Linked DNA regions of Struthio camelus. The protein of the gene in region 3 purifies or fractionates together with the protein of the main gene of each other region. This does not show direct contact. Links are inferred from orthologs where the notes say so. Each region holds a gene or a part of one and is shown on either strand. Other genes may lie near its edges. The genes, in order: BUD23, NAP1L4 and UBE2O.

The links.
Region 1: the proteins of UBE2O (region 3) and BUD23 purify together in Homo sapiens (affinity purification with mass spectrometry; 5 studies listed by BioGRID and IntAct, counting the BioPlex papers as one, with this or other methods). This does not show direct contact. The link is inferred for Struthio camelus from reciprocal best matches to the Homo sapiens genes UBE2O and BUD23.
Region 2: the proteins of UBE2O (region 3) and NAP1L4 purify together in Homo sapiens (affinity purification with mass spectrometry; 3 studies listed by BioGRID, with this or other methods). This does not show direct contact. The link is inferred for Struthio camelus from reciprocal best matches to the Homo sapiens genes UBE2O and NAP1L4.

Annotation. Positions count from the first base shown.
Region 1 is NC_090957.1:8,904,079-8,914,302, reverse strand, and holds the start of BUD23 (18S rRNA (guanine-N(7))-methyltransferase), read right to left. Parts: upstream 5,180-10,224; 5' UTR 5,130-5,179; coding exon 5,082-5,129; intron 5,012-5,081; coding exon 4,974-5,011; intron 4,833-4,973; coding exon 4,737-4,832; intron 4,492-4,736; coding exon 4,409-4,491; intron 4,314-4,408; coding exon 4,217-4,313; intron 3,370-4,216; coding exon 3,273-3,369; intron 2,910-3,272; coding exon 2,859-2,909; intron 2,256-2,858; coding exon 2,170-2,255; intron 1,951-2,169; coding exon 1,905-1,950; intron 1,406-1,904; coding exon 1,347-1,405; intron 839-1,346; exon of another isoform or gene 706-838; intron 252-705; coding exon 162-251; intron 4-161; coding exon 1-3. Other genes in the region: DNAJC30 (dnaJ homolog subfamily C member 30, mitochondrial), read left to right, coding at 5,242-5,889.
Region 2 is NC_090946.1:19,200,310-19,210,533, forward strand, and holds the start of NAP1L4 (nucleosome assembly protein 1-like 4), read right to left. Parts: upstream 6,213-10,224; 5' UTR 6,074-6,212; intron 5,919-6,073; exon of another isoform or gene 5,864-5,918; intron 5,836-5,863; exon of another isoform or gene 5,336-5,835; intron 2,004-5,335; 5' UTR 1,986-2,003; coding exon 1,972-1,985; intron 1,260-1,971; coding exon 1,198-1,259; intron 1-1,197. UniProt on the Homo sapiens protein: Acts as a histone chaperone in nucleosome assembly.
Region 3 is NC_090960.1:9,205,733-9,215,956, forward strand, and holds the start of UBE2O ((E3-independent) E2 ubiquitin-conjugating enzyme), read right to left. Parts: upstream 6,252-10,224; coding exon 5,877-6,251; intron 1-5,876. UniProt on the Homo sapiens protein: E2/E3 hybrid ubiquitin-protein ligase that displays both E2 and E3 ligase activities and mediates monoubiquitination of target proteins. Negatively regulates TRAF6-mediated NF-kappa-B activation independently of its E2 activity.

The DNA.
Region 1 (10,224 bases), on a different chromosome or scaffold from region 3:
TCCCTGTGAAGAAAAGTGCAGAGCACTGAGTGCAATCCACAGCTCATTCTTGGAGGGGAAGGAAAGCTGGCTCATAGCAGAGGAGTTTGAATGGGTGACAGTGGGCCAGACCAGCACAGCCAGCCAGAGCTTCAGCTGAGGCAGGACCTGGCTGAACTTACTTGCCCTGCCGTCGTCTGCGCTCCTTCTTCTCAAGGATCCAGTCCCGGCTTTTCTTTACAGACTTGCCCTTGACGTTTCTGAACCGTGTCCTACAGAGACAACAAACAGGAGCTGAGCAGGAACTGAGGTGGGAGAAACACACTCTTGCAGCCTGGAGGATTCCCATTCACAACTCATCTTGTCCTCTGCTCTGTAGGAATAGTGACAACTCACAACCCATTCCTCCAGAGGATGGGAAGAAGCAGCTGGAACAGGTGGCCAACAAACAGCCCAGCTCCAGATACACAGGCAAATGGCAGCAGTGCAGGTACTAAGCTGCTGCTAGCACCAGCTCTGAGCAAAGGGCATCTGTCCTCCACAGGCTGCAGCATGCTAGGCTCTGGGATCTCTGGGGAACATGGGCTTAGCGCAGCTGCCTTTCCCTTGTCCGCTCTAGTCTGAACAAGCAGATGAAGCATCTAGCTTCTGAACAAGTTGCCAGTTCTGCCCTTCCCCTCCAAGCCCAGGTACCCCCCAGACCAGAGGGGGTAGAGCAGAGCAGAGCACTGTAAGAGGCAGGAAAACATGGCAGCCACCAACTCCTGGCAGCCACGACGACTTTCCTCTAGCTTTTGTTCCGTCTCTCCCACTGGCTGCAAGGGGAGTGCTTCCCTGCACCACTGTCATGGGAAGAGACCTGGCCAGCAAGAGAAAAAACCCCAGGCCACAGCTCACAACAGTCTGACAGTGAAGAATTTGACAGTGGAAGGAAGGGAACGCTGGGCTTCAGGCACACGAGCCTGCTTCCTTGACAAAAAAGCAATGGTTGGCCACTGTAGACACTCCTCATCCCACCACCACATGCCTACGCTCCAGCACTGAGCTGGCAAGCTGAGTGCTGGACAGAAAGCACACCTCAGACTGAACGCTTAGCTGCAGTTCCAATAGGAACACCATGATTCAGTCACACAATGCCAAGGCTGAGCTCTCCAGTCAAACTAGACAGGCTCGTGTCTGGGGCCCTTCAATGTCATAAAGCACTGCCCCTCCAGGCTGCTAAGGATCCTCCTAGGGCCCCTAGTCCCTTCCCTTCAGCCATTTCACAGTGGCAGTACCCTCGTCCTCACTCAGCAAAACCCAGCCCCTATGCAGCCCCTACACTTCTTCCTTGGGGAGAGGATATACCACTCCGCCCCACACAATACCTTTCATTTGTGAACTTTGCCTGGTGTATCTCTTCATCAGCACACTCAGTACCAAGGCCCTGAAAAGCAAAACCAACAAGTTTCTCATCTGGAGCAGACAGAGCTAATGGTCACTGCCATCTAAATAGAAGAGAACGCAGGGGACAGACTGGGACGGGAGCAAACTGATCTTCCAGCAATTGTCACAAGGAAACTGGACCTTGGGGAGGGCAAGGGCTGGTGAGACCAACAGCAAGCACATGAATAAAGTCATGTTTGCATGTGTCTGGCTCCCACTCTGTGAATTCCCTTTACCCACAGCTCTTCCATATCGCCCAGCAGCCAGGAATCACAGAATCACAAAATGGCCAAGGTTGGAAGGGACCTCTGGAGATCATCTAGTCCAACCCTCCTGCTCAAGCAGGGTCATTGAGAGCACATTGCCCAGGATCGTGTCCAGGTGGGTTTTGAATATCTCCAGGGAAGGAGACTGCACAACCTCTCTGGGCAACCTGTTCCAGTGCTCAGGATCCTTAGGGGAGAGGGGATGCATCTCCACTGCCTGGCGGAGCACCTCACCTTTGGTAACGTGCTGGATGCCCCAACAAAGAGACAGAGGAAGAACCTGAAAGAGCAAGAATGAGAAGAGCAGCATGAAGCCAGGATTCAGCATGTGATTCCGAGTCTCCAAACAAAACTAGATCACATGTAACAGAGTCAGATCTAAGCTGTCACCTCTGCCCAGGACAGGGACATGGAAGAGAGAAAAACAGCTTGGAAAAAATCAATGCTGGACCTAGGGCTCACACCCCCAAAACCCCATACAAAACAGAACAGGACTCACTTCTTAGCTTTGGCACTGTTGGGGTAATCTACCACCATTCCCCCAGTAAAGCCAGCCCTCATGGCTTGGGCTGTGATGAGCTCCAGCTAGAAAAGGAAGCATGTACAGAAGTTATTGAGCCGTCATCCAGCGGTGATGCACAAGACACCTCCGGGCTCAGCGCCAACTAACAGCGCACCCTAAGAAGGGGTTGTCCCGCTCCTGTAACAACCCCTACATCAAACCCCTAGCTCTCCAGTATGACTCAGACACAGTCTGCAGCATTTATTTTGTCTCTCCCCGCTCCTTAGTCTAGCTTGGTCTAACTGAAACAGCAGAATCTCTAGGAGGGCAACGCTGGGCTGGACTATCCAGCCCTGGGGAGTTATGGTGCAGCATATATAACTAGAGCCTAGCTTTCAACCCCAGTCACACAAGGGAAAGTTCAGCACAGCAAATTCAGATCATGTCCTGCCAACTCATTTGATTTTAAGGCTTAGCACAAGGCAGTCTGTGAAGCAATGGGAATTGTGTGGGGCATTCTGCTTATGGGTCTTTTTTTGGCTCCCTGCAGAGCTTTACTGTTGGCAAGAAGGAACGAGAAATACACTACACTTCAGGAAAAATGACAAATTCTGAGCCTCAAACAGCAAATAGCTCCTCTCCCTGGCTCTGCCCATCCCTCCTCCCCAATGACTGACATCCTGTACCTGTTCTGAGTTCTCAGGGTACAGCTGCAGGACAGCTCGGGATCCTCGGGCCTACAGGAAAGAAAGTCACAAACCTATCTCAGTACAGGCTTCCCCCCAAGGAATCCAATTCCCAGCCCAGATATAAGCATCCACCTCACCCAAAACCTGCTGGACCCAAAGTCCCAGGTGAGCTGCTCAGCCTGCAGAGCCAGCTTCTTGCTAGCACAGCAAGGCACAGGGCTAACAGTGCTGATGCAGGGAGCAGGGAATAGGGAAATGAGGGACACCATGCAGGCAGGAAAGGAGATGGGAAGCAGATACTCCTGTTGGTCCTAGATTTCAGTAACTTGGACTTGCAAAATGTCTTGCTAAAATGCACTAGTGAGGATGTAAAAGTAGCTAGATGCCTGGCTGAGACAGCACAGCACTTACCAAGGCAGTATAAAGAGTTGAAAAGAACTGATAAAGGCGTTTTGGAGGACTGTGTGACTTCTTATCAGCATTACAAAGCCATTGCACTGCAGAAATACTAAGACAAAACATGAGACCTCCAGGACACTGAGCCATCAATTCTTTAGCAAAGCCTGTCCCCTCCCTTCAAACTTTTTTCAGCATCGAGCATTTGCTGGGCCTGGCCAGCCCCAGTTCATTTCATTTTCTTCATATAGTTTGCCTTCTATTTTGCAGTAAAGGTGCTACATAAATCTCTCTGGAGACTCACTGAGTCATGCCAAAACCCAAAAAAACACAGTAGCGATTCAAGCCCAACAGAAACGTCAAGCATCTCTTTTAGGTCAGATGCTCAAATAACTGAAGTGCTTGGCTGTGACCCTGATTCACACAAACAGCTCATGCACATTTTGCCAGTGAGCAGTCCCAAACAGAGCATTCAGTTAGGTAACAGAAGGTCTCTACTCCATCCCATCATTTTTATGGGGTATTCTCTAAACAGAAAAGTGTTTCTTTTTCCTCCACCTAGCCCCTCATCCCAAAACGAACCATCAAAACTTTCGTCCACTGACTGACCTCATAGATGAGCATGGTACAAATATACTTTATATTTTTCTCCTAGCAGCAGGTCTCACACCTCCAGACACAATCCCCTATTTTATTTATCTCAGTAAGCTTTCCTAGCCCATCACCACAAGAAAAGACAAGCATCAGCGGGGAACAGCTGCTGGAAGCTGCTTCTACAATCCAGAATCTCAGCAGCTTGTTCCAGAGAGCTGGAGCCAAGTCACATGGAACAAGAAGAGCAACTGATAAAAAAGACGCGTACTCCGGTATGCATGACACGTAGTTTTTGTATACTGTGCAGAATAGGTAGCACAGCTACACAAAGTACCAAAAGAGCTCAGTTATGTGCACAAACTCACCTGATGCAGCCATCAAATATGCCTGGCCTGAAGGGAATGCCATGGCCCACATCTGCAAGGAGAAGGTCTCCTTCCACCTCCCTCTCCAGGGCTACGTCTGTACAGAACAAAGGACAACTCAGGGTACGAGCTCACACCTTTGCAGAACACCTCTGGTGGCACAGAAGGCTGCAGGGCAGAGGGTCTACCTACCCAGCATAGCAGAGCTGATGTCCATGCCAATCCAGTAGTGCCCCTCTTCAGAGATGTAATCACCACTCAGCCCAGAGCCACAGCTAAAGGGAGAAAGGGGTAACAACACAGAGACAACCAGCCCCAACCAAGGGCAATCCCCATCACCTACATGGTCACAGTAACCTGCCCCTCCTTCCCAGACCACAGTGGAGAGAAACCAGGGTCACAGGACCAGGATGACTCTCGCATCCAGGCACCATCCCCTGCTACGGTGCCCACGGGCCAAGCCCCCGTGTGCCCGACCGTGTAGCCGGTGACCCCGCGGCGGCAGGGTCGCCCCTCTCACCCCACGTCCAGCAGGAGGCACGGCCGGTCCTCGGGCAGCCCCAGCAGCTCCACAGCCCGCTCTGACATCTGCGACTGGATCTCCACCACGCGGGAGCTGCAAGGCGCGGCGGGGAGGAGGGGTGTCACTGGGGGGGGTTACGAGGCCAGACGAGCCCCGGGCTCACGGCACAAGGCCCCGGCCGGGGCCAGACAGCCGCGGAACCGCCAGGCCCCGCGCGTCCCGGAGGCGCCTTACTTCTGCGTGTACTTTCGGGCCTCAGCCTCGTCGTAGAACTGCAGGAGATGAGAGAGTCAGCGAGGCTGAAGTGCGCCCGCGCCCGCGCCCGCGCCCGCGCCGCCTCACCAGCTCGGGCGGCCCGCGGTGCTCGGGCCGCCGCCCGCTGCCCGCCATGCTGCCTCCCTGACGTCACCGCCCGGCGCCTGGCGTCGCGCCGCGCGCGTCACGCCGCACCGCTCCTCCCCTCCCGCCCCCCGCGGCGATTGCCGGCGGCGCGGGGGCCGCCATGGTGCCGGCGGCGCTGGGCTGCCGTCTGCGGCGCCTCCTGCCCGCTGCGGCGGGGGCCCCGCGGCCCGGCCGCGCCGTCGCGCAGTTCCACGGCGGGCAGGGGCGCGACGGCGCCCCGCGGCCACGCCGCGACCTCTACGAGCTGTTGGGTGTCCCGGCTACGGCCACGCAGGCGCAGATCAAGGCGGCCTATTACGAGCAGTCGTTCCGGTACCACCCGGACCGCAACGCGGGCAGCGCCGAGGCGGCCCAGCGCTTCACCGCCATCAGCGAGGCCTACCTGGTGCTGGGCAGCGCTGCGCTGCGCCGCAAGTACGACCGCGGCGTCCTCAGCCGCGAGGACCTGCAGGGGGCCGCCAAGCCCTCGGGCCGTCCGCCGCCGCCCGCCCCGGCACCGCCGCCGCGCGCCTCCAGCACGGCCGCCGGCCGCCGAGGCCGCGTGCCGCCGCCCTTCGACTTTGACGCCTTCTACCGCGCGCACTACGGGGCGCAGCTGGAGCGGGAGCAGGCGCTGCGGGCCCGCCGTGAGCAGCTGCGCCTCCGCCGCGAGGAGGCCGCAGCCCGCGGCCGCCTCCACCTCCTGCCTGACCTCTCTGTTGGGCTCATCTTCTTCCTGGGGTTCGCCCTGCTCTATGGTTTCAAGTAGTGGCGGGGCCGGCCCCCGCAGAGAGTGCTGGGGAGCTGCCAGGCTGCCAGCCGGCTGCACCGCCCTGGCAGGCATGGAGTGCAACTGCTGGGCAAGGTACGCCAACTGTGAGCTGTCCCCTCTGCCAACGTGATTGGCGGGTGGGGTGCGTGACTGGCAGCCATGTGTAGTCTCTGCTCTGCAGGCTGTGACGTTTCCTCTCCACAGTGTGATGGACACAGTGCGTGGCCAGCAGGCACTGTACATGGGCTCTGCTCTACAGGCTGTGATGTGTCCCCTCTGCCAGTGTGACCTTCAGACACCAGGTGTGATCAGCGGGCAGCGAGTGGCTGTGATGTGTCCATTCCACCAGTGACCTTCAGACAACGTGTGTGACCAGCAGGTACCACACATGGGTTCTACTCTATGAGCTGTGATGTGCCCCTTCTGCTGGCAAGACCTGCAGAAACAGTGCAAGGTACACAAACGTGGTTCATGGACTCTGCTTCACAGACTGTGACTATATTCCCTCCTCTGGTGCTGCTGTCTGACCCTGGCAGGAACCATGCACCTACACTCCTGAGCTGCAGCGGAGATTAAATGGTTGCCAACAGCGTTTGTATGCTGTGTGTTTTCATAGGTGATGCTCTCGCTCATGCAGAGTAATGGCTCCCTGTGGTTTTCCAGAAATCTCTCACTGAGTCCTGCTGCCTCCATGCTTTCATACTTGTTACCACATCTATGGGGAGTTTCAGGAGTGTTGGTCTCCAGACTGCGTCATTGCTCTTATCTGTCCCACTTCGGAGCTTCACTCCCTAGTGAGTGTGGAGGTCTCATGTTCAGCTGTCATTCATGGAAGAGTGAAACTTGGGCTAGTGGCTGCCCATGTCCTGGTCAGCATGTGACAACACCTGCTTCTCCTTGGAGATGCTGCCTGCTGCCTTGGAGATGCAGTTCAGAATAGCCTGTCCTGTCTGGGGCTTGACAGGAACTTTGCACAAGACCATCTTATACAGGCCTTAATGGCTTGGAGTGGTACATTTCTGGGTACAGAATGACATTATTTGTGTTTTACATGTGTTTAAGCATCCTTTGCACTTAGAGTATTTGCCTGTTTAAGCAGTGAAGTGCTTTAGGAACTAAAGATTGTGTTCTTAGAGCCTCTGTCTCTCCTTGGGTGAAGGCTTCACCTATGTTATGTTTGTATTACATGGAGTGAGTGAAAGCTTGCTGTAACATAGAACTGCAAGTCTTAGTGTGCCAAAGACTTCACATGCATTTATTTGCACTGGATTTTCTGGGCCTGTCTGGCAGATGGCTGCACAGAAGTCAAGCTGCCGTCTCTCACTGCAGTGATCCTGGGTTGTGTTTTCTCCCAGCACAGGCATGTTAAAAACAAATGCCTTGTGTACTACAGCTGGTGAGTTCTGTGATATTGCCACAAGCTTAAGGCGGTAGCATAGCAGAGCATGTAGTACCTACTGGTATAGAGTATGTGCTGGTATATAGCTGGTATAGGAGAGTTTTCAGCTGGGTTCTTGAGAGCTGCTTCTGGAAAGAATTGCTCCATTTTCAAATACAGGCTCCAGAGCAAAATTAGTCCGGGGCGGAAAGAGAGCTTTCCAGGATCCCCTCTGGTTGTCCGTTTACCCCTGTATGAGGTAACATAGATTCTAGTCTTGAAATGTCAGCTTGTGAAGAGCACTTGGAGTCTGGCATTTTAGTGTGTTGGGCATGGGGGGGGGGGGGAAAAACTCTGGAATTGCGGCTCTGTGTCACTCAGTGGTGCTCTTTCATGCTGTAAGCGAAGTCACTTGAAAGATCAGAGGCTGCTCCCCAGACAGGGTTTGGCAGGTAACGTTCTCTTCCAGGCTGGAAGAGCTAGGGAAGTCCATGGGAAGTGGTATGCATTACATGGGAACACCTGTCTGGCCTGTGTATTTTTAAGGCAGCCCTGCCAAAGGCTGGGGGGGTGGGGAGGACGGGGTGATGTATGTCCCCTGATCTTTCTTTAATCTGTATATAGTGATGAGGACCAGAAGGTGTAGGCTGTAACTGCAGCCCACCAGGACTCCAGCAAGAAATCTAGTTGCTTTCTAGGGAGCCACCAGGCTCCCAAACCCAGCCGCAAGTCTGCTGCCAGGCAAAGAGAGGGTCTGGTGTCCTGCAGTGGCAGGATGCTGTGGTGTTCCCCTCTTGAACGGGAGCAGGAGGAAACATGGCTAGCTGCTGTGCTTCCTGCATTGCTCTGCTCCTTAACTCTGAGAAAGGAGATGAGCTGCTCCAGTAAGCCAGCTGACTCTCCTGCTCTGTGTCTGATGCTTGTGTCTGAAATGTGGGGGGTCAAATACCGAGACTGAACTAATCTGCGTGCCTTAGAATGGATGATTTGGACAATGCAGTATTGCTGGTTCTTCCTCAGGTCTCCCTGACAGATCTTGAACATTAAAGTTACCCATCTCATAAACTGGTGATGAAATGACACATCTCTTTCTTCTGGTGGGCTTGGGTGGTACATTTCTTTATAATTCCTGGAAACTGGAGGGTGGGCGACAGGCTAGCATTTTCATATGGTGACTGCAGCAGGATGAGGAAGATGGGGGATTCCTGTCTGTTCCAAGGGCCTATTGGGGAAGATGGACATGCTGCTTGCAGTCAGTGGGAAACATGAGCCTCCCCAATCCTTTGCATACTTCATTCCTGCCAGCTGCAGACCTGCACTGTGCCTCTTCTAACATACCTGGGTTGCTTTGCAGTTCTGAAGCACCCACTGTGCTCACCGCCTTCTCTGGGAAGGAGCGAGCAAATGCTGCAGACAAGGTTTAGTTTTCTTGTGGAATTTGGTAGGAGAAGAGGTAGGCGCAGCATGCAGGGCATGGAGGGATCCTTTGAGGCATGCAGTCTGTCACTCAGGGTGTTACGGTGTACTTCCATGCTGATCAGGCCTGTGTACTTAGCTTTTCCAGGAAGGATTTCAGAAGCTCAGACGGGTAGTGGCTGGAGCTAGTCCAAATTCCTAGACTTAATTTCTCCCCAGCATACAAAGTTTCTACCCTTTTGTTTTCTTATGTCTATACTGTCGTCTGGTTTAATAGTTACTCTCTTTCCCTGATGGAGAGGTGCCAAAAGCGACTAGATTTCTTTCTGTTTTCCTTTAGCCAGGTGAGAGCAGTCCTTATGGGGTGACTATGGCACAAGCGCTAGAGGAAATCCAACTGAGTCTAACCATGACAGCAGTGGTATAATGGCAGGGGACTGTGTGAGCTTTACAAGCCCACCAGGAGCTAAACCTCAAAGGGAAAAAGGAGAGGAAATTACGGCAAGAGCAGGAATGATAGGATGTGTAAAACTTGCTGCACAGTGTCCTCCTCCGTATTTAAACCCCATGTTCCACCTCTCCTGTGGCAGTGATCATAGTACTGTTGACAAGAATTCACTATTCACTGCACATGTTGGTGGGATGCTGAGCAACGGGGGAGGGTTACAGAGCTGTCTTCAGACAGGGAGAAAGCCAGGGCAGATCATCGAGAGCCATAGGGAGTTCACTCTTCCTCACACTCTCCTAAGGACAACAGCGAAAGATCCTTGGGGATGCTGAGCCACAGAAGGTTGTTTCTTTAAAACATGGAGCCCATCTCCTACATTCTGGAAAAGGGCAGCTTTCCCTGCTGCTTCCCTGCAGGGTTATATGGTGATTGACACTGGTCTCCCAGGCACGCCTAGGCTGCATGCAAAGGCCTGGGGCAGCTCCCCTGTGTGTGTGCTCCCCTGGGAGAGAGGTTCATTAGTGGGCTGCCCTCTGCCAGCTCTGCTGGGCTCCCCGGGGTGCTGGGCTCTGTGCTGGGCTCAGATATGGCTGCAACTGCCTGCTACCCTGGTCTGCACCTCCCATCGCTGGGGACAAGGCAGCTGTGGGTACGGGTTACAGCTAGGAACTGGAGATAGGGCTTTTCTTCCATTCCCACGTCTACTGCAGGCTTGGCCATCATTTGGAAAAGAAGCTGCTGAAAGATGCCATAGCCAAATGCAGAAGAGACAGTGGGGCTTGGTGCTGCTGACACTGGGCTGAGCCTCCTCCGTTGTGGGCAGAAAGGGGAATATACCATATAAGTAAAGCCAGGAATTCATTTTCAGTCTACTTGAGAGTATCAGCAAAATGTGGCAGACAGTAATTGTTAGTCCAGTTATAATGATTCTAAGTCCAGATATCCAATTACTACAAAAGAAATCTCAGTAATATACTGCAGTTACAGTTATATAGCCCCCCTCCTAGTACTTGCCCTCTGGGTGCTGAGGACAGCAGTTTCAGTCAGGGTGGGAATTATTGAGAGCTGTCAGCATCCTGAGGCCTTCTCT
Region 2 (10,224 bases), on a different chromosome or scaffold from region 3:
CTACATACTAGTTCTAGTTCACAAGCCACCCATAAATTTGCTAGAGAAGAACTACCAAATTATACTTCTAAGACGCTTGTAACATTTTTCTACTTAGTCTTACTCTTGAAAAACTGACAAAAGATTGAGTATTGTAGAACAAAGCAGACTACCATTATGATCATTTACTTGATCATTACCAATTTCTAAAACATCAAGATACTTGTACAATTTATATGACTTCTACAGTGGTGGCTCTTGGACTGTTTGAGAAGACTGTTTTAAGGGAGTTCAGATCTAAAATGCTATAGGTTAAGAGTTAAAAATTCTCACTGATAACTGCACAAGTGGTCACAGTGGGAAGATCACGCTTGCTTTTCAAATCTTTCTGTTCTTTTCCACTGCTCTTCCCTCCAGCCATTAAAGTTATTGAAGTGCACATCACACTAACCTGATGAATGTTTACACTGCTTTTTTTTTTTTTTTTTTTAAACTTAATCTGAATTGATCATAAGAATTAGTCACTGGTATCCACCAATTTATATGTGACTTCCCATTGCAGGTCGTGAAGGCTTTCTTTAAAAGAGAATCAGCAACCATATAGTGAAATATATCAGTATTTTATACGTAACTTACAAATTCAAGCATTCACGCTTTTCTGTGCGCACAAACACATGCACACACACGTATTAATTTTAAAGTTTAAGTACCATTCAGCAGAGTTATCTCTAGACCTTTCAAATAAAGAACATGAACTTCAAAAAGACATTCTTATAAAGATGCATTTTCCTAAAATTAAGATAGTAAAGAACCAGCATACATGCAGGATTGCTCCTTTAGTAACAATACACAATTTTCATCAAAGTAATTAAAAGCTAGTCTGTATAGGTCTCAATGAAAGTTTTTAGACTATTTAATTCAATAGTGATGCATCCTAGTCAGTGCATATATATATAGAAAAGTATTTTCACTATTGCAGATATAAGCTTTTATTTTTATCTTGGCTGCACTACGCACGCAAAACATCAGCCTAAAAGAGGAAGTACCTTAACAGAAAGTGAACGATTAGCCTAAAAAACATTGCTTTGCTTTTAATAACAAACACACATGTAGTTCTGGGTGTCGAGGTTTTGGAATTGTAGGTAAAGGAGCTTGAATATACAAGGCAATGGGGTTACCCCACCCTTGCACTGTTACCTACTGCTATTTATTCCTTACCTTTTTTGTCACTTGCATTTTTAGCAGCCTCCACAGAATCTGAAGCAGTATCTTCTGCTTTACTAAAAGAATTAGAAATTAAACATACTGAAAGAAATCACTTCGTAAAAGTGTAATATTTAAGCATAGAAACATTCTGAATTTTCAGTGTTTATTACAGGGCAAGATTTATAAAGATGCATACCACTAAAAGACATGATTTTTTGTGTCAAGATCAACAAGTAAGATCAGAGTTCTTTGACTACAATTTCTATACCAAATTGTTTTGATTAACAGTAAAAACATCCACTTTACTCTAGGAAGAGATGCTCCCTCTCTCCCCCCCCACATATCTTCCATTGTATTTCCTCTGCTGGAGGAAGACAGACCCCAAAAGAGTCAGCAGTCAGTAAGTATTCCCATATTTCCAGCCAGTTCACACGTCACAGAACATAGGTTAGGAATTGCTAAAATGAATCTTAACTCAGATACAAAAGGAGAAGCAATTATCACATACGCAAATGGATATTACTAGTTACCAGACTAAGTTATTCAACTTACTCCTGTGCAGTCCCTTGAAAGGGACTACTGCAGTACCACAAACAGCAAGTTAAACAGATAATAGTATTTTTTTTTTTAAACTTGCTATTTATTCTAAAAACGCTTACAAACTAGAAAACAAAACTATGCCTTTGGCACGCTTGTTATTACTTCCTTAGCCTATTAGTAAATATACCCCACTGGCTGGGGTATAGCTACATAAATTTAATTTCAAGAAAATATAGTCCAACATACCTGTTATCTGCCATCTGTATGCCTGTATCCACCTGCAAGTTGAAATATAGTTTTTAAAAAAGACCTTAACAGTAATCTGTTTACCTCAGCAGAAGATGAAAATAAAAGGTTACTGTTTAGAAGTTTAAGATAAATTAAGAGCTGCTGGTTTTGCTAAAAAAAGTCATTGTGCATGATCTCTTGCAATAAAGTGAATAGTTACCATATATATCCCATCCAGCTGGAAACCTGCTGGTAGTTTTTAAAACAGCCTGCTAGGAGCTTTCATCTAACCCTTTTAAAACTCATTTTATCGTTAAGGAATCCAGCCTATAATCTGTTCCTACCAGTGCATAAAACAAGTCTTCATCCTACACTGAAACAAGTCTCACAGAGTTTCCTAGACTGCATCTGTGTTCCAAAAAAAAAAAAAAAAAGAAAGAAAGAAAAATAAAAGAAAAAAATATTCTATTCCCTTACTCCTACACACCATCACAGCAAACGCTGAATTTTTAATCTGTGCATATTACTATGCCTGATACGGAAATGATGAAAGTGCATTACAACAACTTCAGAAAGACTTTTCTCATGTCACCTAGGCAGAAAAAACATGCCTCACCTGCTGTCTAATTGGGTCTATTTTTGTGAGTAGCTGTTTCTGCACTGTCTTTACCAAGAGGAGCGTTTTTATCAGCAGCTAAGAAGAAAGAGCTCTCTACATTAAAATTTGGCTTGAATTTACTGGGAGTGAGAAAACAAACAGGAAACAGGAAAGTTAAAGCCTTAGTAATAGCAATGGTTGGAACCAAGTTTAATCTAGCTATCCTACCCCACCCCAAGATTTAAATTAGCTCTCCTGAGAAAACAGAGTCAGATTGCCCAATTTACTTTGCTGTTATTTCTTTAGCTGTTATCAGTGGTGAAATATACAAGCTCATAAATCTATTCTAGTAATATGGTACTTCTGTGCATTCTAGACACAGTTCATGGTAAATCCAAGTAATCACTACAAACTGTACAGAAGTATAGGCGATATTATGCACCTTTACCACGCTCTCAAGAAAGCAGATGTCACTCTGCAAGTCATGCTTAAGAATAAAGACAACCTTCCATCATTCATACGAGTAAACAGGTCTGACTTCTTAAGAGTCTATAAAGGCAAAGCAGGCTGATCTTCAGCTCAGCTTCCAACAGACAGCCACCTCAGAGGAATGTAAGCCCTAATGACATCTTGAGTGGCAGTCAAAACAGGGGGTCAGAGAATCCATGCACTCTGCCAGCTGCACAACACTGATTCTTGTTCCAGGCTAGAAAAAAAAAATTATCATTTTTATAACCACTTATACAGGGCTGAAAAGTTTTGCTCATTTACAGCAGTACTGGGAGTATATTTTAGATTATTCTACAAGGGGGGAAGCTGCCTGACACCCATCAAAAAGCCTATGAGTCCACCCTATCATCATCTCCATGCTACAGATGAAGTCCGGGAAAAAATAAGGGTCTTATTGTAGACCAGGTGTTTCAGCAACCCAGGCATATTTACTTGCAAACAGTAATTCTTGCTTTAAGCATAACAAGAGAAAGTGACAATGCAAGCAATCACCTTCCAAAGTAAAAGGAAAGAACTTTACTATCTTACAGTTGAAGGAATAAAAAGCATACACATCAGTTTTTCCTTCCATAGCTGACCAAAGGCAGAAAAAAAAAAAAAAGAAGTTACGATTAAAAAGGTAAGAGATGGTAAATTGACCTAATACCTGAGTTCAGCCAACAAGTTATATGATCCTAGTCACTATTAGAGGAAGCAATAGCAAGCAACTAAAAAACGTAGACACGCATTACTGAGAAATTAGCCTGGAAGACTCATGCCTTCCAAATCAGACCCAGAAACAGAGCTAATGGAAAAATTCCACTTCACGTACAAATAAATGAACAGAAGATTTGTACTACATTTCCTGCAGGTAACTATTTCTCAACCCTGTGGAGGAAGACAAGATTCTCCCTCATGTTAAGAAAACATGGAATAAAGTTGCCATAACTTGAATAACTTTTAAATGGCAGCTGAATTAAATTCTACTGGAACAGACATGAAATTGCCATGTTCTGTTACAGGCCATTCACCTAAGGATTGGGAATGAAAAACTGGTAAGACACCATTCCCTGGTGCAAATACATGCTTCAAGTCTTGTTTGTTTCCTCAAAGTTGTTCCCCCAGTAACTGAAAGTGAAGAGAATTACATGAATAGAAGTGATAAGAAACTTCCCTGAAATAAATAAATAAAGTTTTAAAAGACAAACACACCCTGTGAACCCCAGCAGCTTTACAGAGGTACCTTCCAATAACTCAGCTGCTACAGACTTACTATTAAAACTGTTCTATAAAAGCCAGGGCAAGGGAAGGGAGGGAAGAGCAAGGTGACTTCAGGGAGACAAATTTAAATGCACATCTGCTTGAAACTGTACAGAAGCAGAGCATCAACCCTTCATATTTATTGCCTTAGTTAACTTTCTGAGTTTGTAGGCAATAAAGACATTCAAAGAATAACCAAAAATTCAGAAGGATAGTGTAAGGTATTATCATTATCGCTGCCACCATCAGTAAGAAACCCAAATTTGTATCTCATTTCCTCTGGACAGTTCACTGTTTTCAAATAAGTATTACAAATGTGAAGCTCTGTGGGAGGAGGAGAGCACACCAACCACTTGTCCCACAAAGCCGGCTGCTGCAATTGAAATTTATCTGGCACAAACGTCATATAGCACTAGTCACCTAAAAGAGCAGAAAAATGGAAACTCAGAATGATGCACGCTCCCAGTACTCCAAGATACCAAAACTTCATTAAAAGGACATGTAAAAGCCTGAAAGATACAGCTTTAAAAAGGCCTGTACATTTAAAAGCAAGAGACATTCACAAATAGATTAAAATATGGAAAATAAGCTCTCTCTGCTAAAAAAAAAAAAAAAAAAAAAAGCTTATTTCTTGCTGTGCAGATCTTCAAAACAGAGCCAGATAACAAAGCAAGTCAATAACGGGCTTCTAAAGGCACAGAAAGACTTCTAGCCATAACTGTTACTGCTTTCCGTAACTACAACAAACGAGAGAAGAAAGTTATGACTTCCGTTTTAGAGCTGTTGGGATGCAACTCTGTGGGAAGCCACAAACAGTCTTATACTTTTTGCATGGGAAATTAGAAGCCATAATTAAGAAGAAAAAAAAAGCCAAAAGAAACTTATTAACCTGTTCCACAAGCCCTGAACATTAGCAGTACTTAAACTTGTCTTCGAAACTTTCTTGAGGAAACACTATTTCAGTTAGAGATGACTTTACATAAACTTGCCTACTGATTCCACCTTCATCTATAACTTGCATACTTGCTCCTGTACCTTTCAATATTGGGGCCTCATAAGCAGATTTTACAGGAACCGACTCTGGCAGATCCCATATACACTCCTATCATGTGTGGAAAACGATCGTAGTAGCAGCGAAAACTTGGAAAAAAAAAAAAAAACCGCTCACTTTCGGAGAGGGAGGTGGGACATGGAAATGAAAAACTGAACCCCAGAAACCCCGTAGCAGGCTGAGGAAACGCAAGATCATCGATGAGGTCAAATGAAAGGATCGCGCCTGACTCGAGGCAGCTAAGGGTTTGACTCAATCCGAGCACTGCGCGGTGAGAGAGACGGAGAAAAGAGAGTTCACCACAGACAACAGCCCTCCCACCCTCTTCCTCCCCCACTTCCCTCGGGAGGGCGGGGGAAGGGAGGGCGCGCTGCCAGGCTCCCCGGGGAGGGCGAGGGCAGCCATACATGCGGCCGGACACGCTCCCTCTCCCGCTGCCAGCCTCACAGCGGGCAGGACATCCCCTTCCCCCGGCCCAAACTCCCCAAGCCAGCCTTAAAATGGTGCCTGACTGGGCCGGGCCCGCCCCTCTCCGCCAGGCGCCTCCAGGCGGCCCCTCCGCCGGCCGAGCCCCACCCCGAGCAGGCCCCAACGGCCGCCGCACGCGCGCCCCGGCCCCGCGCTGCGGTCGCGGCGGCCAGCGCGGACTCCTCCGCGGGTCCCGCCGACCTCCGCCCGCCCGGGGGCCGAGAGGGCGGCGCCGCGGCCCCGCCGCGCCTCACCTGCCCGCGCCCCGCGTCCCCTCACGCCCGCAGAGGCAGCAGCGCCAGCCGCCAGGCTCCTCTCAGGCGCACTCGGGCTGCGCCGCCGCCAAGAAAGCCCCCTCCCATTGGCCGAGGCGCGGGCGCCTCCCTCAGTAAAGGCGCCGCTGATTGGCCCTGGCGCAGCGGTGGCCGCCGCGCCGCACGCGGGCCATGTTGACTATCCGACGGCGCGGCGCTCAGCCAATCAGAGGGCGAACGCGGCAGCGCCGGGCACCGGGGGTGGGGGGGGCGCGCTTGGGGAAAGGTGCGCGCGGAGCTGGCGGCGCGCGGAGAGAGCGCGTGACGCGCGGGGGGGGGGGAGAGGGGGGACAGGGCGGCTCGTGTCCTTAAAGGGACAGAGGCAGGGGCGGGGCAAAATGGCGGCGGGTGGGCGTTGGGTAACGGGCGCGGCGCTTCCTGTGAGGAAGAACAGGCCCTGTCTGGTGCTTCAGGTGGAGCACCCGTTTAAAGATGTTTAAGCTTTCGGGCTTTGTTTCTAAGGCTAGGTACGGGTGTAATTCCCTCTCCTGAGGAAGAGAGGAGAGGGAAAAAAAACCCACCAACAACAAAAGGCCGGTGTTTGTATGGGGATGCGTGAGCAACAGATGCCCTGTAATGTCCTCTTGAGAACAAGGCGGTTTTAGCGTTTGGAGCCACTTGGAGTTCATATGAATAATCCCCTCACTCAATAGGAAAAAGCATTTAACCCTTTACTGAATCACTAGATTCCTTATTCAAAACAAAAAAAAAAAAAAGATTTCCTACAGGTCTACTAACGTAGTCTTGGATTTCAGTAATTAATTTCCAGGGTTAATCGTCACAGTCATTTCACTGATGAAACATTGAAATTATGGGACTGATGTTTAACAATTAACAACCAATCACTACATTAACACTAGATTAATTCAGTTATTGCAGGAACTTAATGGCAGGACTAATGAGTGCATCATCAGTTAAAAGCAGGTACCAATAATAAAAGAAAAAAAGTAATTACTCAAACAGCTAAAGTATTGCAGGAATTTTGGGGAGTCAGTAGCACAAGCAAGCAGATTTGGCCAGCTCAAGGACAGGCTCAGCGGCAGGTCTAAGGTTTGCTCCCGCCTTCTCTCCTTGTCCATCCAAACCAATCTTTCTCCGAACTTCAAAAAGTTAACGGCCTCTTCTTGCTTTCATTACCTTTATTTTGGGACAACTCCATTCATGATCACTAAGTTACGCTTAATTGTCACTTGTCCATAAGAGACCATAATGAACTCTGAAAGGAGGATTTTTCTGAAATTATTCATACTTGAAATTTTTGTTCTTGCTGCTGATTCATACATAGCTGTCAAGTATTCTGTCAGGGTTTTTGGGTTTGTTTGTTAACCTCTATTTGTTAAAAGCTATTTCTCCCTTGCTCCCCAAAAGAAGTTTGGAGTCAGCTACTGTGCCATATGAAGATTTAGCAAGCTTTGCTTGAGTACATGATGTAGCTGCTCGTTCCTGCTATTGCAGGATCACATTGCAGCCCTGTTCAGATTATTAGTTGCAATACTGCAGCCTCTGTGGCGGGATGGGCAGTTTCTGCCTCTGCGCTAGTGCCTCTCTTGCTAATGTAGTTATTCTCATAAATGCTGCAAACCCTGAATTAAATTATATCTCAGATGGTCTTGTAGAAAGAGATTTGCTTTCTTCTGGACCAGTTATGAAAGCCTTGAAACAGGCCAGAGTGCTGGAAGTATTTTCTCTCTTCGTTCATGTTGAAGTAAAATACATTTAAATTACTTTAAATCCAAAGGCATAAATCCTCCATGATCAAGGAGGGATTTTTGCTGACTGGTGTCTAACCTCTTGCAGCATGATGGCAGACTTTAGGACTGTGGCCGAGGCACAATCTGTGGAGTCATCTTGCTGTCAGGTGCTCCTGCCCTGCAGAGAGCCAGAGCTGCAAAAAGATTTTTGCTGAATCACCCTGGCTTGATTTAAACGCCCAGGCTAGCAGACAGGAGAGCTTGGAGAACCAAAACAGAAACAGAAGGGATGATGGCAGAGCTGCTATACACTTGACACACCTGTTTTTAGAGAGAAAGCTTAGGCTGAGATCTGTGACTGGCACTGAGAGAGAGCGCTGTGTGTTCTGCCCTTGGGTGGGCATTAATGCAAACCCGTTTCACTGAATGACATGCCAGACATTCACAACCCATTTTGAGAGATAAGATTTGGTTTGTCTATGACTCTTCAGGGACAAGAAGTGCTTTGATCATTGCTAAGTGGAGGCTTGGTACTAAATAGCTAATACACTTCTTAATTAATTTGTCCTATGTCAGGAGAGATGAGAAATATGCAAGTGCTACAGTGGCCTGCATAGAAAATGTCCTGCGAAATCACCAAGAGGAGCAAAAGTTCCTTTCCATATTTGTGCAGCAGAAATTGTGTAATCTTAAAGGAGGGAGCTCAAGTGGATCCAACAAGCTCCACCACCTTAAAGTGTTAAAGCGTAGTTTAAAATATAGATAAAGAAGCTGCAGGTATATTGTATGTGGCCGAGATTTGCTGATCGGCGCATTTAAAATGCATCTGTGGGTTCCCAGAAAGGTGGAAAGCGAATATAAACATTAGGAAAAAGAGATCAAAAAGAATATCTTCAATGTAATTAGGGACTTTAAAGTCTTTGTAAAGAATGAAGACTGGTGGTAATAAGATCGGATCAGATAATTCACACATTTTTCTACCAGTATCTGAACAAACTGAGTGATGGGAGTACTGTGTTTGGAAGCTGCATGGAGGAACTTGTTCTTATTAGTGCAGCAGTATTCACAGCTCTCAAAAGGCTGAAAGGCATGCTGAGCAAAACACAGAAGCTGTATTTGCTGCTTCCAAGTTTGGCCTTCAGCACTTCACAGAAAGGATGCAGTTAAAACCAAGAAACACCACACTATTTTACCTTGCCTTGCTGCCTGTGGATAAATTCTTTGATGGTAGTCTTTCTTCTCATGTCAGCTTCTATCCAGTGTTTGTCCCCTCGAGGTTACAAGCAAAGGAAGCCCTGACAGGCTTACCAACTTAGCCGAGTACTTCCTCCTGACAACACCCAGATTGGCACAATCTTCAGCGTTCAGAGGTGTAGCCTAGTGTTAGCGCATACATATTTGAGATTACTTTGTTCCTATACACTATGCTGGTAAGAAGCAGTTTTTGAGGAGGACTAGAGAGATCCTTGTGGGATAATGTTTCAAATTATCTTGACAATAGGCAGTTTTGTGCTATTGGTGCCTGACTGCTGTTTGAGCAATATTAAATACATCAGCAAAATTTGGTTATTGCAGCAACAAATTGTACATTTGTATCCTGCTGAAAGGTTTAGGCTGATGAGGATGCAGCAGTCTATAATCCGCAGGTCACTGGTGCCACCATAAAATAAATCTTTACCTCCAAAACAGTGATGTCCTTGAGCATTAATGCTTTTGATTTTTTAATAGACTTCCATCATCAACAAAGGAAGCCCAAAGAGAGATTTGGATTTTTGGACTTCAGAGAGAGAGAGAGAGAGAGAACATAAACAGCTGTGTTAGTTTGTTATATGGGAAACAGGTGTCAAATAAAGCACTGTGTTACCTTACGCTTATTCCAGTGTAGGTGCATAAGCACAACATGGAGATACTGCTAAGTAAGTATTACTAAATATGTATTGGGAAGAAAGGTACCGCATGCTTTTAATGTGAGGCTATGGGAAACTTTAAAAAAACACACTTACAAAATGAATCGTGGAAAAGCCATAATCGTTCCGACTTGCAGTTAACTTAAGTAACGTTAAAAATAACTTGAAAGCAACTTCAAAGAATGCTGAGGCTGCAGTGCTCTAGTCAGACGTTAGTATCGCTCCCTCCCTTGCCTCCCCAAAAGAATTCAGTAATTGTAAAATACATTTAAGATTTGAACAAAGCAGGCAGTAGTTTTTGGGAGGGCGAGAGGAGAGATTATTTGAGATACCAGCTACCAGCTTTGCAATTTCCCCTTAATTTGAACTGTTTGCTGTCATATGCTCTCTTGTCACAAACATCGAGTGGTTTTAGAGGTTAAAGAAAGATACTGTTTTAGAAGTGACCTATGAGTCTGAAGAGGTCTCAGCGTTGTGACATGTAAGTTTATAC
Region 3 (10,224 bases):
ATCAACTATGCAAGGTAGAACTAGAACTGAGTTACATATCAAATGCTCCAAAGGACAAAAAAAAAAAAAAAAACCAAGCCATCATCTCACATCTTTCAGTTCCAGGAACCTTAGGAGTGACAACCTAAAAAGCAAGCGCAAAAATTTCAGATGAAAGTATCAGTTTCTAAACTGACAATGAGCCTTTTGGGTTAAAAAAATAAAAGTACATGGTGGGAGGTAACAGTAGAGTGGAAACAATGAGGCAAGTTTTTCCTAACTAGCATTTAGGAAGGTATCATCACCTTCTGAGCCTTTGAAACCCCGCAAGTAATTAAACAGTCAAACAGTCAAATGAGAGGAGGCTTTTAGCTTCGCAACTGCCAATTATTTCCCAGCACCAACACAGATGCTGAACATTAAAAATAGTGTCTTTCCTCTGAAGAGGGGAGAATAACTGAGGTCACCTGGCATAAGTAAGCAAGACCTAGCCCCCCAAAAGCATCTGTTACAGATTCTGCCTTTTAAGTTCAATAAAGAGTCTTTCGCCAAAAAAAAAAGTAACTACCAAATTGCTTAAAGCCACTTGTCTGGGGAAGTCTGTATCTGAGCTGGGTAAACACAAGCAAAGGAGAAGTCTTTATGAGAAAGTTACAGCAAAATGCCTCATTCGTATAAGTATTTCAAAGCCCGTCACAGACTTGGATTCATTCCTCCTAAAGCTTTTAGTGCACATTAGTTAACTGTTTACTACTCCAAAGAGCGTTACCAATTTTAACTATTCGCTAGCTATACCGACACACTGAAAGCGAGAGAACCTTGGAAGAGATGCTCCATCACACAGCAACTGCTTGCTTGGTGAGAGATTCTATCCATTTTAAACACGACATTCCTGACTATATTTTGAATAATTATAGTTAATTACCTAGCTCAAGCGTCCACTAGTGCTCTTGAATGATCAATTCAGTCTGTACTATACACTCAAAATAACTCTCTATACAATAATACTGTATACTACTTAGCACTCAGGAGACTTCCATACTGCATGTTGCACAGGATGCCATTTTTGCAATAAAAACACTAGCGATGATCCCCAAGCCTATAATGCAAGAGTCAAACAAATCAAAGTCCTTAGCCTGCAAAACAAAAAGGGGAATCAAGTTAAGGGAAAGTAGCCTTGCAGTGACTAGCCAAAGGATTGAATGGTTACCCTTTAAAGTGATTCTGTCTTGCGTAGAACTGCAAAAATTCCAGTAAGCCTTTTCTCTCCTCCTGTCCTTAACAGCTATGAAAGTCAAATGGTTTCAAAAAAAACCCCTGAGAGACTAACTGAAATGTCAGAAGCAAGAAGAGGGTTAGATATAGCTTCCTCACGCAATAAAAAAAAAAACAGTATTAATAGTTTACGGGCATTGAATTTGCGTGTTTCACTACAGTTCTGAACTGTGATCAGCATGTACTCATGGCTCCTGAAAAGGACTCATACTTGTGCAAGCTAGAACCATCCATCTTTACCTGCTGGAATTTAAGCACTCAACGCCACTGCATTTCTAGGCAGAGAACACATTGGTGCAGTTTGAAGATGAAAGATTTTTGTAAGGCTTTCAGTGTTTCCATCCCTTAGTCACAAAGAGGTACCACATTCTGTAGCTGCGATTAACATCTGTACAGCCCACATTAGTGTCCTAACTAGAGGAGAAAAACTTTTAAAAAAATAAAAAGAAGAAGAAAAAAACCTAACAGAGATAACCAGCACTTCACAGTATCAGACCACCTGTATCAGTTACAGTTCCTAGTTGGGATCCCAGAGGTGAGGGTTGACAGTGGCTGCAAAGGGACACAGAAGGGAAAATGCCAATCATCACTGAAAAGGAAGTATTTCCTTCTACCATAATATAAGCACAGAAAAAAAATCACAACTTAGAAGTTTAGGTCAAAATATTAATGATAGAGCTCAGAAGAAAAAATACAATATACACAAGAGTCTTGAAATTATGTGGAAATAATGTCTTCAGAAAGTTACATCCATGACTCAATACTTGAGGTTAAGAAATTATAGCAATGAACAGTGGGAAGGAACAGAAGGGTTGTGTGGGATGAAGCAGAGTTGAATTCATAGAGAGACTTGGAGAGATAACATCAGACAATTTCCAGCTAATAAACTGATCAGCTACTGAATTATGTCTGAAGTGCCCTGATAGTTTGAATCTGTTTCCAGGGCAAACCTGAATGGAGTAGAGAGCCATCCAAACCAAGCTGTATTCTGAACTGCGCAAAAACAAAGCAAAAGATTGCTAAAAACGTCCAGCATGTTTGGGCCTTGACTCTTACAGCAATCCTGCGTCCCTACTTGTTCCCTACATGTAAATCAATCAACTCCACTCCTGATACAGAACAGCATTACACCAAGATACTAGCATAAGTATTTCACTCCCAGAGGCATACAAAAGAGCACAAGACGGGGAATTCAGCAGTCTGGCCTGTTGCAGGCCTTTAGATAAGGTGCTGAAATATAACACCTGCACTTTTGTTTTCCTCATACGCAGAACAAGCATATCTGCCTTACACAGGCTTTGTGAGCATTCAAGTTGGTCGAGAACTCTGAGGCTTTCTGATGAGCCAGAGAGAGGAAGACTAGCAGCATTTCAAGGCACTCTCTAAGCCTTACTCATATTTAACACGGTCAAGCATATTTTTTAATTTCCCAAAGGCAGCACAAGTATGCAGTAAGAGTATTAACTTACAGCTGAGAAATTTGGAAATTAAATCTCAGTTGGGTCTCAAATATTACTGCTACTTTGTTAGAAAAGCATCACAAGTTCACACCAATTATCAATATTCTCACAACTTTTGAGTGAAAATTACATCTAGCATACAAACAGTAATATGAAAACAAGAGAGATGGCTTTAACCAGAGGGACTGCTCTTCCGATTCGGTTGCCTGACAGGATGGGAGTTAGACAGGACATAGATGGCAAACGTATTTGGATAGGAAAGGCTTCTCCCAGAACTGCTTGGGTTTTGCATTATTTAGCAACAATGACTTTCCAGTGTTTTGAAAAAGGAAAGCAGTCATGGACAGCAGGAAAGGAGCACACAGAGCCAGAGGATAAGAAATCCTGGCTCTTTTCATTCACATCATTCTCATGATAGTGCTAATGACTATCAACATGGGAATCAAAGGCAGGAATGTGCTCGGATAAACTACTTATTCAGTTGGAAGAGTTCGTGGGCCTTTGTACCAAACGCTTGTCCTATTTCAAGAGAAAGTTTCTATTACTTATTAACATCAGTAATTGTGTGCTGGGGTTTAAGCGGCAGTTTGCCTACCATTTCCAACAGGAAAGAACAAAGGTAAGCATAGAACATCTAGGAAAAACAGTAAAAAGGATTAGCCTATATAGTACCTGGCAGGGAAAAAAAAAAGTTTTAACCCACAAAGTTCAAGCAAAACACAAGAAATCTCTAGGGTTATAATCCAGTTTTTCTGGTTATAAACAACTGCATTTAACCTTTGCACTGGAAGCTGAAGGTACTCTTTCACTGTCCTCAAAATTTGCAACAACTTTGTTTCTCCCCTTCCTCAGTTACAACACATGCTCTTACCAATAAACCTGCCAGGGTTCATAGATCTTTAAGCGCTTGACAAAGAAGGATCCACATGAGAGAGACAGGCACACAAGCGTTTCACATGGGAAAGAAAAATTACCGTACAGAACAGGTATACAATTGTGCAAGATGAGGCTAGCAAGAGCCCTGACCCCAGGGCTACCTTTATCCTCTGACCATTACAGAATTAAGATCGCAGGGAAATGAAAGGTACCTTCAAAGAAACGGAATAGGTACTCTCTTGAATCCAGGGGCTGACTGTGACCAAGACAGTGAGGTTAACATAATAAAGACATCAAATAGAATTCCACAGCTAAAGATGCTGGAGAGTTAGAGGCCTGGCCAAAATAATTATGGTTGGCAACAACATTCTAAAAATTAACAAACTTTAGGCCCAGGACAACCACGTGGTCCTTATGGTTCGTACCCCTCCCAGCTCGGACAACAACAAGCATGTCAGCTTACCTGGCTGGTTCACCCATTAGTATAACGTGAAAGGGCTGGGTTAGAGGAAAGCTAAAAAACCCAGCTATAACCATGAAATGAGAAGTTCTGCAGCGCCTTTCCAGTGGCGTCAGATTTGTTTTTAGTAACCCTAAACTGCAGCGCAGATTGTACACAATGCCTATCCATTTTGTCAGCGGGCAGCTTTTTAAATGGAAAAAAATCAATATGACGGGAGTACACCTAAATTCCTTAGGCACTTAGGGAACTTTTCCCCAGGGGCTATTACCTGAATGGTAAAGCTGCCTACATCAGAGGGATATGACTTTGAAAAGGAAAGAAAGAGGACCATTTATTTACATAATTGCCTTTAACTTCTGATCCTCTGCAGTCTAGCTTTTTCTAATGTTGCGCAGGGTACAGTTAGCAAGTGACTAAAGTCAGAGCTAACACTTCCGAATTTGGGAATCCAGTAACAACTCCTAAGTCCATGTTTAATCACTCAAGTTGAAGTGGCCTCATTTAGAGGCTGAAAACACTCAACTTTGGACATATGTTGATGTAACAGCACACAAAGATTTTATTTGAAGGCTACAGTGATTGAATTGCGGCTCTAGGGAAAGAAGGTTTTTCTTAATGTAGAAATACGTAATGTGGAAATATATTTTCTTGATACCTTGCTTTCATTTTTCTCATCTCCTTACTGGTCACATGCCTAGTGACACTATCACCTAAATTTAGCTCATTCTGGTAGCGTGGGCAATCCTACCAATTTCGGTAGGAGCACAGCACACCTTTCTCTCCGTTTCCTCCTTTCAAAAATCAAGCAGAATGCTAAACAGCAGAGCAGATGGCATACCAGGAGACTCCTGCTTTTAGTTGCCACCCCAGAACAGCGCTCTGACTCGCTCTACTGCAAGGACAGCGCAGGCCTTCTGTTTTGTTCAGTGCAACGCCCATCCCTCGCAGGCCCCTTTGTGTTATATTACAGTGCCCCCTCTCTCTCTTTTGTCTCCTCTGTACTGCCAGTCACTCTGTGCAAAATCTGGCACCAGAATAACTTTGGGAAGTGGCAACGTTCTAACCCAGGCCTAAGAAGTGCCCTGAACCCTGTGGCTCTCTGGATGTAATTAAAAGGTCACAGATTTACCTAGGCCTCATCAAGAGAGGTAAACGTTCATGTAAACAAGGGCAAATCCAAACCACGGTTGCCCACCACTGGGATTTCAGCTAGTCACGATTACTCCGTTTAGCTGTTGGCTCCCCTACAACAGGCTACCATGATGCTGTCCACCGAAGAGACACTGGAGCACATTCCCAGCAAGTAAGAGAGGGTCGGAGAGCTTGCCTCTACTAGGAACTAGCTCAAATCCCCGACTGCACTTCCTCTAGTGCCATTAAAATCCAGTGCCTGGGAGAAACGGCTACGTTTCGACACCGGTGAAGCGCAGGAGCAGCGTTCACTCCAGGCAGGAGGCGAGGAGGATTCACTCCAGCATGACGAAAGACGGGAAACAGATTTCAGCCTCTGGAGGACACAGTCCACCTCCGGCGCTCAGACGCAGCACGCAGCCAGCGGCGGCACTTCTGGCAGGCGAGAGCGGAGGGATAACCACGAGAAGGAGCCGCAGGCCGGCTCCGCGGCCGGGCAGAGCCGCGCAGGCCCCTGCCCCACGAGGCCTCCGGCGCGGGCCGCGTGGGACGGACAAGGCCCCGCGACCGCGCGCCGAACCGGCGAGAACCGGCGGGGAGGCCGCAAAGGCGGCGGGGGGGGGGGGGGGGGACAGGGCGCGCCGCCGCCGCCGCCCGCCCGAGCAGGGGCCGGGGCCGGGGCGAGCCGTTACCTTGGTCTCCTTGACGTGCTGCTTGATGCCCTCCGGGTACCACTGCACCCGCACGTAGCCCCGCCGCAGCGGGCTGGCGCGGCCTTCCTCGGCGCCGCCGGCCCCGGGGCCGCCCGACTCGGAGCCGCCCGAGCTGGCGGCGCCGCCGCCGGTGCCGCGGCCGCCCTCCTCCTCCTCCGAGTCGGAGTCCTCGCCGTGGATGAGGCGCACCAGGCCGAACCGCACCGAGCCGCGGTAGCGGCCCGACACCAGGTCGTGCGAGAAGAGGAGGCGCTGCGAGCCGCCCGGCGGGGCCGGCGCGGGCAGGGGCAGCGCGGCGGGAGCCGGGGCCGGGGCGGCGGGGGCCGGGGCCGCCTCAGCGGGCTGGTCCGCCATGGCGCCGGGCAGAGCGGGGAGAGCGCGCGGCCGCCGGCGCAGGCTGGGGGAGGGGAGGGGAGGGCGGGGGGCGGGGCGGGCGGCGCGCGGGCCCCGCGCATGTAACGGCCCGGGGGCGGGGCCCGACCGCGTCGCCCCGCCCACCGCCAGGCCCCGCCCACCGCGGCGCCGGGCCTGCGCGGGGGGGGGAGAGGGAGGGCTGAGGGGAGGGGCCTGAGGGGAGGGAGGGCTGAGGGGAGAGGGGTGGAGGGAGGAGTGGGCTGAGGGGAGGGAGGGCTGAGGGGAGAGGGGTGGAGGAAGGAGGGGTCTGAGGGGAGGGAGGGCTGAGAGGAGAGGGATGGAGGGAGGAGGGGGCTGAGGGGAGGGAGGGCTGAGGGGAGAGGGATGGAGGGAGGGGAGGGCTGAGGAGAAGGGCCTGAGGGGAAGGAGGGGTGAGAGGGAGGGATGGAGGGAGGAGAGGGCTGAGGAGAGGGGCCTGAGGGGAAGGAGGGGTGAGAGGGAGGGATGGAGGGAGGAGAGGGCTGAGGAGAGGGGCCTGAGGGGAGGGAGGGATGGAGGGAGGAGAGGGCTGAGGAGAGGGGCCTGAGGGGAGGGAGGGGTGAGAGGGAGGGATGGAGGGAGGAGAGGGCTGAGGAGAGGGGCCTGAGGGGAGGGAGGGGTGAGGGGAGAGGGATGGAGGGAGGAGTGGGCTGAGGGGAGAGGGGTGGAGGAAGGAGGGGAGGAAGGAGAGGACTGCGGAGAGAGGGCTGAGAGGAGGAAGGAAGGAGGGCAGAGGAGAGCCAGGGATGAGGAAAGGGAGAGAGGGAGGAGGGAAGAGAGAGGGATTGAGGGAAGAGGGATGGGGAGGGCCCGAGGATGGAGGCAGGAGAAGGGGTGAGGGAGAGAGGGGAGGAGGAGCCGGGGCGGGGGAGGAAGCCCAGGGGGCAGAGAGGAGGACTCCGGGGAGACGGCTGAAGGCACCAAGGGGGAGCAGCCTCCCGCCGCGGCGCCCCCCGGGGCGGCAGCGACCCTGCGCAGCCGGGCCCGTCTCCTCCTCCCGGCCCGAAGCCCCCGTGCTCCGCCGGCTCCCGCCGCCACCACGGCCTCCCGGCGGGGTTGTTCCCAGGGAATTAGGGGCTGCGGCCGAGTCACAGCGGGAACCGCCCCGCGTTTCGGTAGCCCCCGCGCCCGGGGCCGCGCGACACCCCCAGGACGCCACCTCAGGGTCCGAGTGATATGAATCCCACCCGCCATCTCCTCCCTTCCAGCCTAGACTGGTGCTACCAGTCCGGGAGAGCTTCTGGATCTAGCGCGGCCAAGGGAGCGTGGGGGCGCACGAGGCACGGGCCAGCCTCCTGCCAGGTCCCGCACCAGCAGCCACCATCGAGGTCTGGCCACCTTCCGCGTGAGGGGAAAAAATAAAAAAATTAAAAAATATATGACAGGCATTTGAAGGCAAACTCGGAGACGGGGCGGGAAGAGGCAGGAGCCCGGCCTGGCTGGGCTGCTCGGGGCGCTGCCCCTTGTCATGCGCTCCTCCGGGTGCTGAGGTGCTCTCCAGCTGGCAGGAAAGCACGGCTTGGCTTTTTATGACTCCTAGAAATCCTCGTTACGGTGTGCGAAGGAGCCCAATGTTTGGCTTCGTTGACTCTTGTGGATATTTTCCCTTTTATCGGCAGGGATTTTTGAAATAAAAATAATTTCTTGAGAGGGCCTCGCTACCCGGGCAGGGGAAGGGCGAAGCGCATCCCAAATAGCCTTATTTGCCTGTCCTTTACTCAAAGATATCTTGTCACTTCACTCCATAGATCTCCCCGTCTGTGCAGCGCTGGCTGGAATATCAGGAAAATGCTTGAAATCCTCAGCCTGACTCATTTTATTACCAAAAGAAAACAAGAGCAGCATAGCAGTAATCTCCTCCTTTCACTCCCACAAACCCGAGCCCAGGGCTGGCCTGGCTCTATCCACCAGCTGGCTGTAGTTTCTCCTTCCAGGGTTTCTTCTTTCAGGAAAGGGACCGGAAACACAGCTTTTATTTTTAAAGCAGTTCCTGGATTTTTCCATTGGGTTTCTAGTCCTTCTCTGCCAGGAAACAGCACCCACTAGCTGTGCGAATCCGGAGCCTGGCTGTGCACGGAGCCCTCGCTGCAGCGGGCATCTCCCACGAGGGAGAGGTACTAGGAGCAGGATCACGTTTCCGCTCTGCCCAGCTCCTGAGATGTCCTCCTGCAGCGGTGGGTGCAGGGCACGCTTTCGGGCCGCCTTTGGGATGCTCTCATTGATGGCAGAGGGCAAACTATTCCTGACCTGTCTCCAGAGCAGGGAGCTGCAAGCGTTGCAACAGCTCGCAGTGTCTTCCTCCCTCTGGGTCCTAGGTCAGCATGACCCCCACATCAGGATTTAACAGCCTGCATCATTTTAAACAGAGGGGTGTTTTGCTGGTGTAGTTCCCTAGGGGAGCATTTCTCGGCCTTGACCCCAAGGATAAGGAATAGAACAGAGCTAAAAGAGAATGTTGTCCAGGTGGAAAAATATGGAGAAAGACAGTTTAAATATCTGTTCGACGTAACGTGGTTATACAGCTGTCGATATGGGCAGGATGGGCTTGTGGGAATGCAGATCCCCATCCACAAGCAAGAGAGGGCAGGGACCACTGTGAGGTGAACGAGACGAGGGGTGTAAAATCAGTGCTCAGCACTGTCAAACGCGCCTGTGCCGCCAGCACCATTTCACCCTCCTGTGTCACTCAGTCACAGCTGCGCTGGGGAAGGGTGTGCGGCACATCTCCCAAGGCCTGTATAGACAGCCCTGGCACACCCCCACGCTAGGTGCTGTGGGCCTGGTGCCAGCCTCCCTCCCTGGGAAGTCAGGGACAATTGTGGCCTTTCTCTGTGGGAACAGGATCAGGCCCTTTGGAGGGGTACAAGATGCCCTCTTCTTCCATTTGAATTGGCGTTATGTCCTTCTCATCATTCCACGAAAGGCCTAAAGCACAATGTGTATCCAGCGTGGTGATGTTTCTTATCATCTCCTTAATGTACACAGTAACAGCTGCTTATAAAATATAGATATAGTTAATGGGCGTAAACTTGTGTGTAGATGGAAACTGTCCCTCTTCAGAGCAATTACACGCTGCAGAGCAGCAGCGGGATTTCAGGTAGCCACAAATAGCCATACAAGCAATCACCTTATACAACCAGCCAGGCTCACAGCGTGGGGGGTTTAATGGGGCCAAGGCAGGGCTAGCTGGCTGCTAACAGGAGTCGAGCTGGGTGTGTTTTTGCACTCTGAGCTCAAACAGGGCTCTGATGTGCTCTTGTTCGGAAGTGGCACTGAAGAAAGGCTCGTCTTTTCCTTGGGAGCCAGCAGCCCCTGGCCTGGGCTGCTAACACCACTGAGATGCTTCAGGCGTGACAGTCCTTGGCTAGTGAGCATCTCCCCGTCAAGAAGCTAGGCAGTACTAGCTCTCTGGGGCTGGATCCCACATCTCCGCTGAGGGACCCCAGCAAGTCAGACCACTCTGCAAAATACTAAGGCAACACCAAGAAGCATCCTGCAGTTTTGTGTGTGTGATTTTTTTTTGGAGAACCAACTCGACTCAGCAGGTGGTCTGAACACCCAGCACTTGCGCAAGTGACACATGTCAAGCAGACTCCTCCTTTACGGACAGTTGCTGGTGTTGGACTATTTTAGGAATTGCTGTCACTTACTCTCTTTGCAGCACAGTATCTTCCTTGCGAATAAACTGCCTGGGTAACATCCCTGGCTTACCTGCTTCCACACAGAGAGGTTTGTGAAAAGCAAGCCCTGCCCTTCCTCCTCAGGACCTGGCTGGTGCTGGGTGCAGTGAGATGCATCTCTCACGGGGCATCTTTGCGAGGGCTTTGCGGGCCGAAGGGCTGCCTGGCACCCAGGGGTACCTTCAGGGTGCCCGGGGGTGCCAGGGCTGCAGCAAGGCGCCCGGTCACCTCAGCTGAGGAAAGGCTCTGGTGCC